2 linked regions of the Arabidopsis thaliana genome follow. The main gene of each other region encodes a partner of the protein of the gene in region 2 in a complex. Each region holds a gene or a part of one and is shown on either strand. Other genes may lie near its edges. The genes, in order: NdhN and ndhI. A codon is read from its position in the direction of its gene.

Region 1 (10,009 bases), on a different chromosome or scaffold from region 2:
ATACATCATCAAACCTAATATCACAACTAGAATGATTTAAGCCGATCCAAAGAGTTGATACAGTTAAGATTAGAGAAGCTTAGTAACGAATTCCAGAACAATGTATACTATAGTAGTTTCTTAAATAAAATATCACAGTTATTGCTGGATTATCATGATAATAACGCAAGTATTGCATTATAGTTGGCATTGAAAAGAGAATACCGAAAAAGGCACAGTACCTGTGTCACAGCTAATGTGAAAACGATATATGATCCAACGGAGAGAGAAGTAATCCAGGCAAAAGCAGCTCCAAACTTGTATGCCAGTATACCTGATACCATAGATATCTGAAAGATACATATTAATTACGTCGAGTGTTTTTAGAGACGAATGAATAGTGAAATCCAAATATGAATGAGCAACTGCCAATTATTCAAAATGAGAAAAAAAACAATGATCATGAGAAAGCACCAAGTGGTCAGACAAGCTTTACCTCCAATATGGTAGGAACAACATTGAAAACCATAGCTGAGAGGATAAAATTTATTGCACGGCTACCACGATCAATAATCCTGTTCAAGCCGCCTGTTTCTCGACTGGACATAAGCAATTAAGTAAGGAAGTTATGATGAGATGAATCTAAGATGGAATGAGCGAGACTACTCACAAGAGTAAGAGAGGAGAGATAGATACCTTAGGTGGTAACGAAGGTCAAGATCATGTAAATGTGAGAACACCTGCAAAGCGACCATATGAAATTGATTCATACATTAAAATATCTCTATCGACAAGATAGTTTAGAGCAGCAGCAGCATACCTTTCTAGAAACAGATCGTATTGTTCGGAGAGCTACCTTAGAGAACACAGCAGTACGAAGTTCTGCGATGATGAAAAGTAACAACCAAGAGTGAAAAGTGCATTCTTTTTTAAAGAAAACTAGAGCTATTGAGAGTTACCATTAAAAGCAGAAGAACCCGTCCGAGCAATCCCGTATCCAATGAGAACAGCAGCAGGAGTAGCAAAAACAGTAAGAAGAGTTGGGTTTGTAGCAGCGAAGGTGGTAAGTGAGGCTCCAGTACCGGTAGCTGAAGCAAGCCAATCAACAGCTAATTTGAAGAGGAAAGGGACTTGGACATTCAAGACCTTAGCACCCACGAGAAAACCCAAAGCAGCGATGACCCTGAAACGGAATTCTGGATTGTCTCTCATCCACAAATAGCCAGCAAGCGTACGGAGAATCTTCATGTCAGCCATAGCTGAGTCTGAATCCGACGAGGTTGTCTTGATTTCCTTAGTCTTGGTGGTGGTTTGGTCTGGATTGGGAGTAGAAGTCGAGAAGAGACGACCATTAAGCATTGAACTCCGTTGAACAAAACGAATTGGGGATGGTGATGGTGACGGGGATGGTGAGTTATCTGAGAGGAAGGCATTGATAACCGGAGATGTTCGAATTGAGTTACGTCTGATGTAATTGGAGAAACCATTATGAAGACGATAATCAGAGCGAAGACTGTAGGAAAAAGATGGGATTTTGGGTTGAGGTTGAAGATTAACGCGACAGAGTAAGAGCCCAGGAGCCCTAACGAATCGAGATCCTCTCGACATCCCTTCTTCTCCGAAAGTTTCACAGACTGAATTTTGCTCCGGCGAGCTAGCTAACAATGTCACGACGTTCGGCGGTGCTTAATGGGCCTAATAAATAAAGCCCAATACATTTTAAGCCCATTAATGTCTATCCCTTTGTGGAGTGAGTCGTCGTTTCTCCACCATTCTTTCATCATCATCGTCGTCAAGCAATGTTTATTATGAGCTACTTCCACAAGAAGTCATTGTTAGTAAAGAAATGGGAAGCCGTGCAATATGTATACAACGTGTGGCACCACCGTGTTTTGAAGCCTCGCAAGTGAAGAAGATCAAAACAGTTGGTTCCTTTTTGGTGAATACTAGGAGTAAGAGAAGAAGAAGCACTGGTGTGAAATGTAGCAGCATAGCTGACTACATCGGAGGTGACTTGGTGAAGCCGGACATCGGACAATGGCTTCAAGACGTGGAAGAACACAAGGCAATCGCCATTTACGCTCCTCATGAGGGTGGTTACGAAGGTCGTTATCTTAACCGTCTCAAAATGCAGGGCTACTACTTTCTTGACATCTCTGCTCGTGGCCTTGGTGACCCTGAGACTACCCTTCTCAAGAACTACCCTGTTTGCCCTGTATGTCTACTTTCATCCATCTTCTACTTTAATCTTGTTTCAATATAATTTTGTGTGAACCATGTATCTTCTCTTCTTTTAGGCTCATCTTGGGAAACAACCTATAGCAAGATGGTATTATCCACCAGAAGTTGATTACAGGCTCGCTGCTCTTCCCCCTAGTGCCAAGGGTCTTGTTGTATGGGTCCTCGAAGCAAAGGTTTGAGTTTCTCTCATTTGATCTGTTCTCCCACATGCTCTTTCTCATATTTCCATTTCACTCAGGTCCTCTCAAAATCGGAGCTTCAATTTCTCGCTTTACTTCCCTCTCTTCGTCCTAACGTCAGGGTTATTGCTGAATGTGGCAACTGGTGAGTATATCATTCCTTACCATACACACTAATCATCTATGTTTGCAATTTGCATGACCATTACCAATTCCCCTGCAGGAGAAAGTTCGTGTGGAAGCCTCTAGCAGAAATTGCAAATCTAGCTGCACAAGAGTAACTTAATGGCACAAGTGGAGCTACCAGTGTATAGTTTTTCATGAATGCATCTCCCGCAAGTGTAGCAATACTCATCCCATAGTAAAAGTTAAAATCTGTATTTGTAACTTGGTAGTATATTCCCATGGAGTAGTTAAAGATAATTTCTGACTCTGCTTTGTCACAAATAAAAGTATGTATAATCAGTAAGATTGATAGGACACGCTTAGATACAGACTACAGAGCAATCCAGAAGTACAACATAGAACACTTGATTCAGCAGAAACATGTGCAACTTACTTTGATCAACTCCAGTCACTAGACCTAACGAGTAACAACATGTTCCGAGTCCACAAATCGTTTTGAAAACCAAAAAATTCAGATCTTTTGCAAAGTTCTTCAGCGAGTAGGCATATTGCCCTCCTGTGACTAGACAACTTAATACCTAGAGCTTTAACTGAAGGTTCTTGCCAATATTCTCGTGAGAAATCAACAAATATGGTCACCCTTAAGACTTTGATGGAGCTAAATGTGAGGATGCTTTTTGTTGTCTAGTTCTATGCTTAACCTTGAGTCAGTGACGTATCAAACAGGCAACTTTGAGTAATAGAAGCTACACTAGGAAAGATATAGACTTGGATAATGAGCTCAGTAGTACAAAACTTTGAAGCACTAAGACAAAGCTGAGATTGGAGAATGCAAAAACAAGACAAAAAGCAAAGTTCTATACTGCAGATTCTTGGGTTACTTTAGGCAAGAAGGTATCCCACCATCCAGGTTCATACTTGGGGTATGGCGCCACCCAATTTTTAGGCTTATCGAACTCAAGAGTGGTAGGATTGGAGGCCAAAGCTTCATCAAGAGAGGTAGCTTCAAAGGAATCATACAGAACACGATCCAATCTTAACTTCATAAACCTGCCATAAAACAACAAATTGCAAAACACAAATGCGTTAGATAAGGAGGGAGTGAGGAACGTAATTTTGAAAAGAGAGAGATTGGGATTAGGGTTCTAACGTGATCCAGGTGCCATTGGTGGAAACAAGAGCAACAGCAGGACGACGAAGTCTTTGAGTAATTTTGGGGAAATTGTCAAGGAATTTAGGCTCAATGACAAGCCAGAAGTCTTGCACTAATTCACGCTCACCGAAGTAACGGAGACGTTCAAACAATTGCTCCTGGAAGTGCTCCTCTTCGTCAAGCATGAATTTAGCGTTTGCTACCAGGAAATGGTACTTGGTGCTCTCTCCCTGCAATCATCCAGAAAACGTAAGCTGTTTGGTTTGATTGGTCAAGAGGAAAAGAGAGAGAGAGAAAGAAAAGAGAAACCTTGTTAACAGAAGACTGTTGCTCGATGGAGGTAGCTGCGGTTTTGAAAGAGGAGGAGAAATGTGATGATGGTAGAGACAGAGAAGGCGAAGAGAGATGGAGTTTCTTTGTCTGCTTGGGAAAGGAAGAGGAGATGAGAAAGGGTTTCGTACGGCAAGCGGCGGCGGTAGGCGGCACCGCCACAGTCAATGCTCCGGTGACGCTCCACATTTGCTGCTGATTAGAGTCTGTTGATCGAGGCAGAATCTGTAAAAATCTTATCTTTTTTGCCGGGGGTCATCCATTATTATCATCACTCTCTCTCTCCCTTTCTCAACTCAATTTTTAATTGATTTTAATGTTATTTGGGCTTCAGTAATGGCCCAATAAGGTGTTATGGGTTTCTTCAAGCCCGTAAGAAAGAAAAGGGAAAGGCGTTAACTGTGACTTTCATGGCGACGGAGGCGGAGCTGAGATGCTGAACCTGCAAGTAACCGGGAAGACGATCTTATCTAGTATTCGTTGTCAGAGAAAGGTAAGTTCCTTATACGATCCAACATTTTGTCTCTACTTTACAAGTTAGAAGGATTGATTTTTGAGTGTTTTGATTGCTGCAGATGTCGTCTACTTGTTCTTCGTACGCATTTGGGCCGTACAAAATCGATCCCCGTGAAGTGTTCTACGCAACGCCTCTCTCTTATGCCATGGTTAATCTCCGTCCGCTTCTTCCTGGTATGCCTCATTCCTCTCTAATTATTCATCGAACCTCTTCAACTTTCTTCTGACCTTCTTTTTCATCTATTTTTTGCAGGTCATATCCTTCTTTTTTTTGTGTGTTCTTCATTTTTCGGTTTTGTTTTGTAAATTGAGTTCTATTGGATGACTTTAACCAGACGAGCACATGTTCTTGTCTGCCCGAGACGCCTTGTGCCACGATTTACTGATCTTACAGCTGATGAGACCAGTGACCTGTGGCTTACTGCTCAGAAGGTTGGCTCTAAGCTTGAGACCTTCCATAATGCGTCTTCTCTCACATTAGCCATCCAAGTAAACTAAACATCTCCTTTCTTTCGTCATTGTTTCTTGCGTCTAAATCTTAATGGATTGGAATTGAAACGATCTAACTTTGGTTTCATGAAAATGGCTTAGGATGGCCCTCAAGCGGGACAGACTGTTCCCCATGTACACATTCATATCTTGCCTCGTAAAGGTGGTGACTTTGAGAAGAATGATGAAATCTATGATGCTGTAAGTTGTTGCATTTTGATCACATTCCTAGCTTTGGTTTTATACAAATCTTATGGTGGTATCTTCTTGTAGCTTGATGAGAAGGAGAAGGAACTGAAGCAGAAGCTTGATCTAGATAAAGACCGGGTTGATAGGAGCATTCAGGAGATGGCTGACGAGGCTTCCCAATACAGATCTCTTTTCGATTGCTAGTTATCATTTATCAATATCAAATCAAACCAAGCTATCCAGTAGCTTTAATAAGGACCATTGTGACAAGTGACTTTCAGTTTGAAATTTTATGTCAGAGACTTTGATTCAAATTTGTAATTTCTTTCTAATGTCGCCCAATCTGGGTATAAACTAAGAGTTATAGCTTTGGTTGACACTACTTAGTGAGATTAGAATCAACTCCTTCATGTTATAAAGAAAAATTCCCACTTGCTACCATCCTCTCATGCCTCATTTTACACAATGAACACTAAATACTTGAACTAAACAATAGCAGAGATGTATAAATAAATACTGTCCCATAAGATCAGTGCGCTTTGGATACTAAATAACAAGCTAAGAAGCTTTTGATGGTTCTTCCCCTGGAGCGTCATCCTCATCATGATAGATGTTTTCAGCCATTTGCCATATTTGGAGTATGTTGTCCTCAGCAACACTGGAAATAACCCAATCTTCACAAGGGTTCCACGAGAAATCTGAAATTTTGCTAGTGTGACCACCGTGAATAAACAGCAGCTCAGGTGGGCCGTCTTCTGCGTCCTCCACTGTCTGTTCCTCATCGATCCTATCATAAGACACCCTCAAACATATCAATATTGCTCCTCCATGACCATACATGAACATTAAACTAAAGAACTAAAGTCTACGGCCCAAACCTGCTAAGGTCCCAAACCATAAGTCTTCTACCAAGGCAACATGAAGCTAAAATAGTCTCGTTCTTTGGGTTCCAACCAACTTGAAAAACCTCCTCTCTGGAGATCAAGCACATAATTAAGGTTAGTGATGTTGCTGTAACTTGTAAATACTTCTTAGTAACACAAAATCCATCTCAAAGCGGCAATATTTATGGCGTATCATTCTTACTTGTGGCTATCAAATGTGTGAAGAGCGGTGCTTAGCTTCCGTAGATCGAATAATTTAACAGTCTTGTCAGTTGATCCTGTTGCCACAACCCACTCATTAAATGGATTGAAGGCTAAGCAGTTAACCTAAGGCATTTCAAACAACTCAACAATTAGCAAATACATACGAGGCAATATGATTCAATGGTTTTTAGTGTTAAGGAAAGCAAGCTTAAAAACCAGAAGTATTATCTGTATCTAAAGCTAATATATTGCAAACTCACCTCCATCGAATGAGCAACCACAGACTGTACTGGTTTACTGGCAGATGGAGAACGCAGATCCCATATGAGAAGGTATTGGTCATCTCCAACTGATCCAAACAGGTACTCATGTCTCAGATGCCATGCAACATCTTCCACAACCCCTTCATGAGCCTTAAGTTCAGAAAATAATCATCAGCAAGGAAAACACAGAAACCAACCTGAATATCTATCTATGAGCTTTCATAAGTGTAACTGATTCCGTTAAGTGGGTGCAATTCCTTCCTTTCTAGATGATACAAAACAAAACTAAAAACGAATAGAAATCCAAAGCATTACCTTAAAAATCTGCTGAGCGTCCAGAGATTTGTTTTTAGGAGTAGCGTTAATATCCCACAAGCAGATCTGAGCATCATCAGAGCCACTAAGCAAATGACCCTGCTTGAACTTACTCCAAGAGAGACCATATCCCTCAGAGCTGTGACCTCTAAGCTTTAAATCAGGATTACAAGCCCCATCAAGAGGAGGCTTAGATGGATGCTTACTGTAATCGAAAACATAGACCTCCGCATTAACTGTCTTGGTAGCAATTATGAAAGGGTTTTGAGGCATATAGCGAGCTCGATTAACCTCACCATCATGATTTATCTGCTGGATAATTTGTACCTACACAAGCAATCAAACTAACATTTATCATCCTTTACCTCGTTATAACCCTAGAATCAAATCTAGAAAGTTGGAAATGAGAAACAAAAATAAAAAATCGCACCTTTCCAGTTGCACAGCCAAAGCCACCAAATTCAGAGCGGTCATCATCGTACTGACGAGCTTCACTCTCGGTATCGTCAAGAGGAAGCTGAACTTGGGCTAGCATCAAGTAATTGGGCTCGCTCTCGGAGGTATGGGTACCGAGAATCATCTTCTGAACGGAGTAGTCTTTACCGGAAGGTTCTTCACGGTCAGGAAGCCATTCAACAGTAAGTGAAGGCCACTCGAGAGCGTGAGTAATAACGAGATCGTAGAGGAAAGGAGTGTTCTTCTTCCAGATCTTGTACTCTTCATTGATTAGTCGCTCCTCGATCTCACCTCGCATTTCCTCTTCGTCTTTCCCCATATCGGCGATGTCTTTGTTATTCCCGCCACAAGAACAAGGCAAAACCCTAAAACAGATCTCTTTACAAATTGTAAGAAACTTCTCGCTTCTGTTTCTGAATAATTCACATATAGAAGATGATGAATAAAAAAAGGAAGAAGATAAAGAAAAGGCCCATTTTTGAAAAGCCCGTTTATGAAAAGGCCCAATTAGATGACTTTTGATCTTACACCAGTCAACAGAAGTGAGGATTGGAGAAAAGAGAGAAAAAATGGCGATGGAGATCGGAGAAGATGAATGGAAGGTTTGCTGTGGAAGCTCCGAATTCGCGAAGCAGATGTCTACGTCTGGACCGTTAACTTCTCAAGAAGCAATATATACTGCAAGAGACATCTGGTTCAACCAAGTTAATGTGACAGATTGGCTTGAAGCTTTCTCTGCTCATCCTCAGATTGGGAATACTCCTTCACCTTCTATCAACTCCGATTTTGCTCGTCGGAGCGTATCAGAACAGTCAACCGCCTTTGCCACAACTTCTGCTTCTGCTTTACAGGTGATGGATCTTCACTTTTTTTTTCCTTCATCTCTTCAGTGATTTCTTCTTCTGATGATCAATTGTTTTCAATTTCTTAGGAGCTTGCCGAATGGAATGTACTTTACAAAAAGAAGTTTGGCTTTATCTTCATTATTTGCGCTTCTGGCAGGACTCACGCTGAGATGCTCCATGCGTTAAAGGTCAACTTTTGCATTTCCAAATCAGTTTTTGTTGAGTGTGAGTGAATGAGAAAGTTACATATTCATCAAATCGTCTCTTTTTCAGGAAAGGTATGAAAATAGGCCAATAGTGGAGCTTGAGATTGCTGCTATGGAACAAATGAAAATAACAGAGCTACGAATGGCAAAGCTGTTCTCCGATAAGGCTAAAGTTATATCAGAAACTGACAGCTCTAGCTCTCCTGTTTCAACAAAACCTCAAGGTATATTGATGATTTACCAAATCTTTTCCTTGTCAAAGTTTTGTGTTTGACTGTGTGGGTTTGAACCTGTTAGGATTCAGTATGATATCAAGTATGTGTCTTTTGGAATACAAGGATTTACCCTTATGGCTATCTTTGTTATCTGTGTGACCTTTTCTACTTTCTCGCTTTGTAAGATCGTCTGAGAATCATTGGAGGGCATTTGAATGTTGCAGCTGAAGCAAAAGCTCCCAAGAGAAGTAGGCCACCGATCACGACTCATGTCTTAGACGTCTCACGTGGTGCTCCAGCTGCAGGTGTTGAAGTGCACTTAGAAGTGTGGAGTGGTACTACCGGTCCTTCCTTTGTTCATGGAGGTGGTGGGGTCTGGTCCAGTGTGGGCACATCAGCTACTGATAGAGATGGGCGCAGTGGGCCACTGATGGATTTGGTTGACGCTTTGAATCCAGGGACATATAGGATTAGCTTCGACACTGCAAAGTATTCCCCAGGCTGCTTCTTTCCCTATGTTTCCATTGTATTTCAGGTTACAGAATCACAGAAATGGGAGCATTTCCATGTCCCACTGTTGCTTGCACCTTTTTCTTTCTCCACATACCGTGGGAGCTAGAGCTATGCTACTGCTGTCTGCGGCACCAACTTTCCAACACATTTTGTTTTGGTTGTACCACTACGGGAACATGTATCAAAATTGCTATGAAATGAAGTCTTTATTCGACATGTATAAAAATTGCTATGAAATAATGTCTATTCGAGTATTTATTTGGATTTGTAGTTCTGTAGAACAAACAATGAATTAGCGAAAATACGAGCTTTGATCTAGACTCATTGTGAGTAGGACAACGATAGTATAGATTACCATGTTAAACATCTTGGGAGATTCTATACCTTTGTACAAAATGGTCGATCACAAAACAAGCCTCTAAAACTGTTGTGTGTTTTAATCTAGACTCATAGCCAGCAGGACAATAATAGTCTAGATTAAGACATCTTGGTCGATTCCAAACCTTTGCGCAAAATGTCAAAACAAAACAGCTTCTACTGGTATACTTTACACACCTCTACCTACCCTTCCTGAGCGTGTCTAAAGCTCCCTGGCTATATCTACCCTCATCTCCAAAAGTTCGCAAATTCTTTCGCAAATGACATTATGTTGCTCCACGAACTTGACCTTTCTTTCACCTCACCAGTTTCCGTCTCTTTCACCTCACCGGCTCCTGTCTCTGAAATTTGTCTGTAAAAACAAAAGATATAAGAATTCAAACTGAAGTGGTGCCAATATGATCAACTTGAATGACTTTTTCTATTACTCAAAAACAAGAGATCCATCAATGAAGTAAATTATCCTAATATAAGGATCGGACCAGTAAAGAAGAGACCTAGTTGTATGCATTTGATACCTGGTCTCAG
Region 2 (8,054 bases):
AAATAACCCCGTACCATGACGTATCGAGAATAGTAGACATTAATAAAAAAAGAATAGTTGTACAAACCAACGAAGTAATCCCATTCCCAATGGTCCACAGATTGAAATCTGTGGAATATTCTGAATCATTCATGAACATCACAGCAAATATGATTAAAACATTTATGGCCCCCACATAAATAAGGAGTTGTGCAGCAGCTACAAAATGGGAATTTGATAGAATATACAATAAAGATATACAAACAAGAACAAATCCTAAGGAAAAGGCTGAAAATATTGGGTTGGGAAGTAATACCACTCCCAGACCCCCTACTAGAAGACCGGATCCCAGAAAAACTAAAAGAAAATCATGTATTGGTCCAGGCAAATCCATTATATTATTAAAATAAGAAAAAATCGAAATCCTTTTCATGACCTTATTAATTTAACCAGGAAATTTGTTTTTTATATGTTTCTAAATAGAGTGAAATTAGAATCTAATGGATATGAATTGATGTAGATACAATTATTAGTATTAGGCTGTTTTCTCTTTTTTTTTTTCTAAAGTGTATTTTCAACCTATCAATTTCAAGAAAGTAATTACGAATATATTATATTAAAAGAATGTGCCTTAATACTTAATATTATTATTATTATATAAATACAATACAAGTTTTTAATTAAATTCTTTATATAAATATAATTCAACAACTTGGAATTCTTTTTTTAATCAAATTAAAGGGTTTACCCCATTTTTTGTTTGAGGTGAATTCCAAATTGTTCGAATAGTGTAATCGTCAATTACTGACATTGGTAAACGACCCAAAGCTATTTGATTATAATTCAATTCGTGACGATCATAAGTGGAAAATTCATATTCTTCAGTCATTGACAAACAATTTGTTGGACAATACTCAACACAATTACCACAAAATATACAAATTCCAAAATCAATACTGTAATTAAGCAATCGTTTTTTTCGAATATTAGTTTCCAATTTCCAATCAACAACAGGCAAATCTATAGGACATACTCGAACACATACTTCACAAGCAATGCATTTATCAAATTCAAAATGGATTCGACCGCGGAAACGTTCCGATGTTATTAATTTTTCATAGGGATATTGAATAGTTACAGGTAAACGATTTGTGTGGGATAAGGTAATCATGAAACCTTGACCAATATACCTTGCAGCTCGTAGGGTTTGTTGACCATAATTCATGAACCCGGTTATCATAGGAAGCATATTGTAATTATCTCTGAATAATTTTATCTTTGTTTCTGTCTCTTGTTTAAAACAAATAATGAATATATTAGATTCATTTTAAATTTAGAGTGAAAAGAGTTGGAAAGAAGTGGTTAATAATAGATTACCAAGGGAAATAGGTAAAAGAAATTTCCATCCAAGATTTAATAGTTGATCCATTCTTAGCCTAGGTAAAGTCCATCTTGTTGCGATAGAAACGAACAAAAACAAATAAGTTTTAGCTAATGTAATAAAGATACCAATTGTTGTTCCAAAAATTTGATCCCTTTGAAATAGCTCCAGAATAGATATATACGGAATAGAAATATTCCAACCGCCTAAGTATAGAACTGTTACAAATAATGAGGAAATTAATAGATTTAGATAAGAAGCAACGTAAAATAAACCAAATTTTATACCTGAATATTCAGTTTGATAACCTGCTATTAATTCTTCTTCCGCTTCTGGTAAATCAAACGGTAACCTCTCGCATTCTGCTAGGGAAGAAATTAGAAAAATGATAAAACCTATAGGTTGACGCCACAAATTCCATCCCCAAAAACCATATTTTGATTGTGCCTCAACTATATCAACTGTACTTAAACTGTTAGATAATCCTAGTCGGCGAGAACATTACTATTTTCACCGCTATTTCAGAACCGTACATGAGGTCTTGGCCTCATACGGCTCCTCGGGGGCCATAAATAAATCTAAGGACCAGATTATAATTTAGATGGATATGATGTGTTCTAAAATGGATTAAATATATCTGGGGTCCCGAATTATACCAATGGAATTCTGTCTGCTCAAATTCTAAGAATAAAAAACGCGCTTCGGAATTCATCTCACCCCTTTACAAATTTGAATTTCTATTTGTTGAGTAATAACTTAACCCTTTAATAAAAAACTCCTAAAAAAAAAAAGTATTTAAGCCCATCGTGGTTTTCGATTACGAAAAATAATTAGACATCCTATTTTTTTATTATTCATGACAGAAATTCGATTTTATTTTCGAAATATATGAAAAAAAAAAGAGCCTTGTTTCGTTCCTATTCTTCTTTCTTTTTTAGAAAAAAGTTGGTAGACTTATAAAAAATAAAGGATTATTTCGTTTCTGATAGTCATTACATTTGTCGGTGGATAGGAGCATACTCTGAATCGGAATCTTGGGGAGTACTGTCTGATCATTTCTACTAATTTAAAGCCCCAATTAACCTTCTTTTTTTTATCTTATGTTAGGCCTAAATATCCTTTTCAATTTGGTTAATCTCTATTACAAATTCTTTGTGTATTTTGGTGTTTCTAACCATCCACTCACTTTTACCTAATTGCCGCTCACTTTGTAATACATGTATGTTAATCTATATAACTGATAGTGAAAACGTCATCCGGTTACCGGTTAATATATTTAACCCGCTTCAAGTCAGGATGACTAATCAACCAACCTTGGGGTAAAGTGATTCTTACACTTATGTTTATTTCCGTTTAACCTTTGTACATAGGAAATGAGACTCATTTTTCGTTTTACTGCAAATTTCAGAGCAGTTTTTTTTTCACTCATATATAACTATCAAATTCCTTTTATTAATTATTTCGATTAATTCGAAAGATAAATATATATTCCGTTTTTTAACTGATTCGTCTAGAAGAAACGGAATAGTAAAAATAAACGTTTCTGTTTCAACGAATCGCACGTAGAGATATTGATAAAACACATAGAGTTAATGGTATTTCATAACTAATCGATTGGGCAGCAGCTCGCAGACCACCTAAAAAAGAATATTTATTATTTGATCCATATCCTGACATAAGAAGTCCAATAGGAGCAATACTTGAGATGGCAATCCATAAAAAAATACCGATATTGAGATCCGCTAAAACAAGGTGATTGCTAAAGGGAATTACTGAATAACTTAGTAAAATAGAGATAACTGCTATAGATGGTCCAATACTAAATAAAGGAGTATTTCCTCTAGATGGACGAAGATTTTCTTTGAAAAGTAGTTTTGTCCCATCGGCTAGAGCTTGAAGAATTCCCAACGGGCCGGCGTATTCAGGTCCAATACGTTGTTGTATCCCTGCAGATATTTCTCTTTCTAACCACACAATTACTAGTACACCTGTTATGATTCCCAATACAAGAGAAAATATAGGGACAAATATCCATATGAGTCCATAGACCTCTTTTAAAGATTCCAATTTAACAAAAGAATTTATAGTTTGGACTGCTGTTGCATAAATTATCATTTTAACGATCAACTTCTCCCATAATTATATCTATGCTACCGAGTATCGTCATAATATCAGCCAATTTCATTCTTTTAACTAGTTCAGGAAGAATTTGCAAATTAATAAAACCCGGTGGTCGTATTTTCCATCTCCAAGGAAAACCGCTTTGATCTCCTATGAGAAAAATTCCCAACTCCCCTTTTGGAGCTTCAACTCTTACATAAAGTTCTTGTTTTGATAATTCAAAAGTAGGAGAAGGTTTTTTACTAATGAATCGATATTCAAAATCATTCCATTCTGGATTCCTTTTTCTATCAAAGCCCCTGCTTTCTAAATTCTCATAGGGACCCCCTGGAAGTCCTTCCAGAGCCTGTTGAATAATTTTTATGGATTCTGTCATTTCGCTAAGTCGTACTAAATAACGAGCTAATGAATCTCCTTGTTTTTGCCATTGAATTTCCCATTCAAATTCATCGTAAGACTCATAACGATCAATTTTACGAAGATCCCATGGTATTCCGGATGCGCGTAGCATTGGTCCGGATAAACCCCAATTTATTGCTTCTTCCCCACCAATAATCCCAACTCCTTCAACCCGTTCTAAAAAAATAGGATTTCGTGTAATGAGTTTTTGATATTCAACAACCTCTGTTAAAAAATAATCACAAAAATCCAAGCATTTATCTATCCAACCATAAGGTAAATCAGCCGCTATTCCTCCAATACGAAAAAAATTATGCATCATTCTCATACCGGTGGCAGCTTCGAATAGATCATATACAAATTCTCGTTCTCTGAAAATATAGAAAAAGGGAGTCTGTGCACCAATATCTGCCATAAAAGGGCCGAGCCATAACAGATGAGAAGCTATACGACTCAATTCCAGCATAATTACTCTGATATAGCTGGCCCTTTTAGGAACTTGAATATTTCCCAATTGTTCTGGTCCATTTACTGTTATTGCTTCTGTAAACATAGTAGCTAAATAATCCCATCGCGTTACATACGGTAAATATTGTATAATTGCTCGGTTTTCTGCAATTTTTTCCATTCCTCTGTGTAAATAACCTAATATGGGTTCACAGTCAACAACATCCTCACCATCTAGAGTAACAATTAAGCGAAGAACACCATGCATGGATGGGTGGTGAGGTCCCATATTGACTATCATAAGATCTTTTCCTGTAACTGGTCTCTTCATAAGTTTTTCCTTGATTCGTTCTGGCATGAATTAGATTTCTGAATAAAGAAGTTTATCAAAAAATTCAAGATCTAAAAAATTCACTAATTCACAATTTTTGAATTTAACGAGTTTTTAATTCCCGAATATTCAACTGATTAATTAATTCTTTATAACGTACTCTATTTTTTTTTGACAAATAAGCCAGCAGTCGTTGACGTTTTCCCAGAATTTTTCGTAGACCCCGCTGAGATAAATAATCTTTTCTGTGCAATTCCAAATGTGAAGTAAGTCTTCGTATCTTATTAGTGAAACTAAATACTTGAAATTCAACGGATCCCCTGCTTTCTTCTTTTTGTTCTTCAAATGAAATGACTATATTTTTTATCATAAAAAGAAATCCTTCCCCTTTTAATATGAATTGAAAGATATTAATTTTACTGATCAGTAATAATAATGGTAGTTTTTTTGTACAAGGATCTTAATTTAATTATCAACCTCTTAATTCTTCATTTTAGAAAAAAATCTAAATTTAGATCTCAAAAAGAAGGATTCTGTTAATTTATTTATGAATCCGCTATAATTGGTATCTATGTGATTGATTAAATTAATCTCATGTATAAAGATTTAATTTAAAACAATCCCTCATATTTGTGCATATAGTTGTTTTCATATACCGTAACTTATTATATATAGTAAAAAGTATTTATGATTAAGGAATTGGAAATCGCGTATACATGCGTATTCTTATCATACTGAAATGATTTCCGTTAGTAGTATTAAACCAATAGCGATTCATACAAGCTAAATCTTCTAATTTAAAATTGGGCCAAAGAAAGGATTTTAAATTAATTAAGTTATTTTTATCCTTATCAAGATCAAGATCTTTCTTTTTATGCAAAACGGTGGTCAAGTTTTGAATATTCTTATCAAATCTTGAATTTGTATCCCTAGCATTTTTTTTTTTTAAGTTGAAACAAATTAGAATTCGAAATTCTCTACGTCGTTTAGGGGATAGAATTTTTTCAGGGACAAAGAAATCATAATTATTTTTTTTTTTATTTACAGTTTTGTTTTGATATTTTGTAATGGATTTTTCAAAAAATTTTTTATTAATATAGCTTTTTTTTTTGTATCTTTTACTTATTTTGTGTTTATTTTTATGAACCAATGAAATACCTATGGTTCTATATATAATAAGTTGTCCATCGTTTTGTACAGACAAACGCACAGGTTCAATAATCAATATTCCTTTTTTCATTAATTTTGCAAAAGTGAAATTTTTCTCAATCATTAGAATGTCTAGGCTCATCTCTCCTCTTTCAATAGAAGATACCGCTATTTCGTTTGGATTGTTTAGTCTAACCAAGAGACAGTATACTTTTACATTATTGAGAATTTTTTGATTAAAAAAACAATTCCATCGCAATTGAAAACGCGAATATCTTGTCAGAAATAAATCAAGTTCCGCTTCTGTATTACTTTTGTATTGTTTTTTATTTTTACGTTTTTTTATTGTTGATTCTGCAAAATTTTCTTCAATATTTTTTTCTTGGTTTAATCGAGCTGCTTCGGGATTTCTTTTTGTTTCTTTATCTGATTCAAGTTCTACTTGACCGGCCGATTCTTTTTCTTCTTTATTCAGATTATAAAATCGAAGGGATTCTTTTTCATTTGATGGTATAAAACCTTTTTTCTTTCGAATGATCTTTTTATTAACATTTATGTTTTCATTAAAATTTAAAAGAAGTAATTTGATTGGTATGACCCATGGTTTCATTTTATATGTACTAGAAAATAAGAAAAATTCCGGAAAGAAAAAAAATTCAAAATTTGTTATACGCTGATTTAGTATTTCTTCATTCATTCCCATCCAATCAAAAAAGTTTCTTTTTTTATTAGCAAGATCCGTCTGCGTTATTTTATCAATTTTTTGATAATTCTGAACTTTAGTATTAATATATTTTTTTTTACTCTTAGTATCAACCCAAGGCTCAATAGTTACTTTTTTTGTAAACCAAAAGTTAAGAATTCTCCAATCCAAATATTTTCTATGCCGAATTTCCCCCATACCCCGAATATTATATTTTTCTAGAAAAGAAGAGACTAAACAATTATCTAGGGCAATGCCTATAGACATGTCAAAATTTTTTTCTGTAGAATGAATAGATTTATAGCAAAAAAGATTATATATAGAATCTTTTTTTACATTATGTTTTGGATTTAATAATGAGTCGGCCTCAAAAAATTTTTGTTTTTTATAATTATCAAATTTCTTTTTTTCATATGAATCCTCTTTGGTTAAACTTGGGTTTAGAACTAGAGAATCTTTATTTATTTTATTTTTCCAATTTTGGGTTACTAATCTAGCCCATGAAATCTGGGGTAAATTGTATTGATACTGACTTCGTAACCAGTTTTTCCATTGATTTACTTCGGAATTCAAAAAGGTTTTATTTTTCAATTCATAATGAAAGATTCCGTGTTCTTGAAAAAAAACCTTTATTTTATTCTTAACAAAAAAGGATGTTATGCATATGTTATATTCAAGAACAGCCTTTAATTTACAAAAGTTACTAACTTTAATTTGTGATAATTTGTAAAATACATATGCTTGTGATAAAGAGCATAGGTCATAACTCATTTTTTTTTTATTGGATATTAAATTTTTTATAGTCGAAATAAAATAAAGAGTATTTTTTTTTTTTTCTCCATTTTCTTCATTCTTGTAAATATATTTATCAAGAATTTTTTTTGTTGATTCAAAAAAAAGTTGTGTAGTAATTCTTGGAATATTAATGATACCTAGAAAAATAGCTATAGACATTTGTTCGATGCAAAATTTAAAAAAAAAAATGGATTTACGAATTAATCGGGTATTTTTTCTTTTGAATGTCTGCCAAATTTTTTTTGATGACTCAATTATTTTAGAATCATAACGCAGTTTGGTACAACTATTAGTTAAGTTTTGTTTTTCTTTTGAAATTTCTTCTATTTGATTTCTGATTGTCTTTTTTCTATCAATCAAATTTTTGATTTTTTTTTCGCTAAGTGAAGAATTTGTCCACTCCAAGGATTTATTTTGAACAGATAGTTCATGAATCATCTGATTACTTATTATTGAATCTTTTTTAGGTTCATTTAATTCATATATTTCTCTCGGGCCAAATAATGGAATTAGATTTCGTTTTGAAATTCCTTTTATAAAAATAAAGTTTTTGAGAATCCAGTTTTTAGTTTCTTTTGCGACTTTTAGGAAAATGGGTGCTCTTTCTTTGAAAATCTTTAAAACCACAAAAGACTTTTTTTTTAATTTTTTGATTCTTTTTTTTAATTCTTTAGAAATAGGTTCAAAAAAAGAAGGCTTTCTTTGGGCAGAACCAAACGGTAGTTCGGTTTCCATTCCCCAAACTGTTA

What was found.
Region 1: the proteins of ndhI (region 2) and NdhN are in contact, whole or in part, in a cryo-EM structure (PDB 7WFG), measured with the Arabidopsis thaliana proteins. Residues at the interface, in NP_051113.1 of Arabidopsis thaliana: Tyr44 (codon at 1,099), Ile76 (codon at 1,003), Asp77 (codon at 1,000), Leu78 (codon at 997), Pro79 (codon at 994), Val80 (codon at 991), Val81 (codon at 988), Asp82 (codon at 985), Asn96 (codon at 943), Ser98 (codon at 937), Asp100 (codon at 931), Ile103 (codon at 922), Glu124 (codon at 859), Glu126 (codon at 853), Thr129 (codon at 844), Tyr130 (codon at 841), Glu134 (codon at 829), Tyr137 (codon at 820), Asn138 (codon at 817), Ile140 (codon at 811), Ala141 (codon at 808), Arg144 (codon at 799), Leu145 (codon at 796), Pro146 (codon at 793), Met147 (codon at 790); in NP_200634.1 of Arabidopsis thaliana: His81 (codon at 2,066), Asp102 (codon at 2,129), Ile103 (codon at 2,132), Ser104 (codon at 2,135), Ala105 (codon at 2,138), Arg106 (codon at 2,141), Gly107 (codon at 2,144), Leu108 (codon at 2,147), Gly109 (codon at 2,150), Asp110 (codon at 2,153), Pro120 (codon at 2,183), Cys122 (codon at 2,189), Pro123 (codon at 2,192), Ala124 (codon at 2,277), His125 (codon at 2,280), Leu126 (codon at 2,283), Gly127 (codon at 2,286), Ile131 (codon at 2,298), Arg133 (codon at 2,304), Val163 (codon at 2,459), Leu164 (codon at 2,462), Ser165 (codon at 2,465), Lys166 (codon at 2,468).

Annotation. Positions count from the first base shown.
Region 1 is NC_003076.8:23,553,746-23,563,754, reverse strand, and holds NdhN (oxidoreductases, acting on NADH or NADPH, quinone or similar compound as acceptor), read left to right. Parts: upstream 1-1,753; 5' UTR 1,754-1,825; coding exon 1,826-2,194; intron 2,195-2,276; coding exon 2,277-2,393; coding exon of another isoform or gene 2,394-2,399; exon of another isoform or gene 2,400-2,458; coding exon 2,459-2,544; intron 2,545-2,622; coding exon 2,623-2,680; 3' UTR 2,681-3,187; downstream 3,188-10,009. Other genes in the region: ABCB25 (ABC transporter of the mitochondrion 3), read right to left, coding at 222-329, 476-578, 676-719, 800-861, 939-1,587; EMB3143 (YCF54), read right to left, coding at 3,383-3,575, 3,676-3,908, 3,988-4,197; FHIT (FRAGILE HISTIDINE TRIAD), read left to right, coding at 4,442-4,501, 4,584-4,698, 4,865-5,013, 5,116-5,214, 5,287-5,406; MSI1 (Transducin/WD40 repeat-like superfamily protein), read right to left, coding at 5,761-5,989, 6,081-6,176, 6,289-6,413, 6,551-6,703, 6,869-7,195, 7,299-7,643; TTL (transthyretin-like protein), read left to right, coding at 7,894-8,175, 8,256-8,357, 8,443-8,599, 8,776-9,209; AT5G58210 (hydroxyproline-rich glycoprotein family protein), read right to left, coding at 9,710-9,833, 10,000-10,009. UniProt on the Arabidopsis thaliana protein: NDH shuttles electrons from NAD(P)H:plastoquinone, via FMN and iron-sulfur (Fe-S) centers, to quinones in the photosynthetic chain and possibly in a chloroplast respiratory chain.
Region 2 is NC_000932.1:118,535-126,588, forward strand, and holds ndhI (NADH dehydrogenase subunit I), read right to left. Parts: upstream 1,229-8,054; coding exon 710-1,228; downstream 1-709. Other genes in the region: ndhG (NADH dehydrogenase subunit 6), read right to left, coding at 1-373; ndhA (NADH dehydrogenase subunit 1), read right to left, coding at 1,313-1,842, 2,923-3,475; ndhH (NADH dehydrogenase subunit 7), read right to left, coding at 3,477-4,658; rps15 (ribosomal protein S15), read right to left, coding at 4,762-5,028. UniProt on the Arabidopsis thaliana protein: NDH shuttles electrons from NAD(P)H:plastoquinone, via FMN and iron-sulfur (Fe-S) centers, to quinones in the photosynthetic chain and possibly in a chloroplast respiratory chain.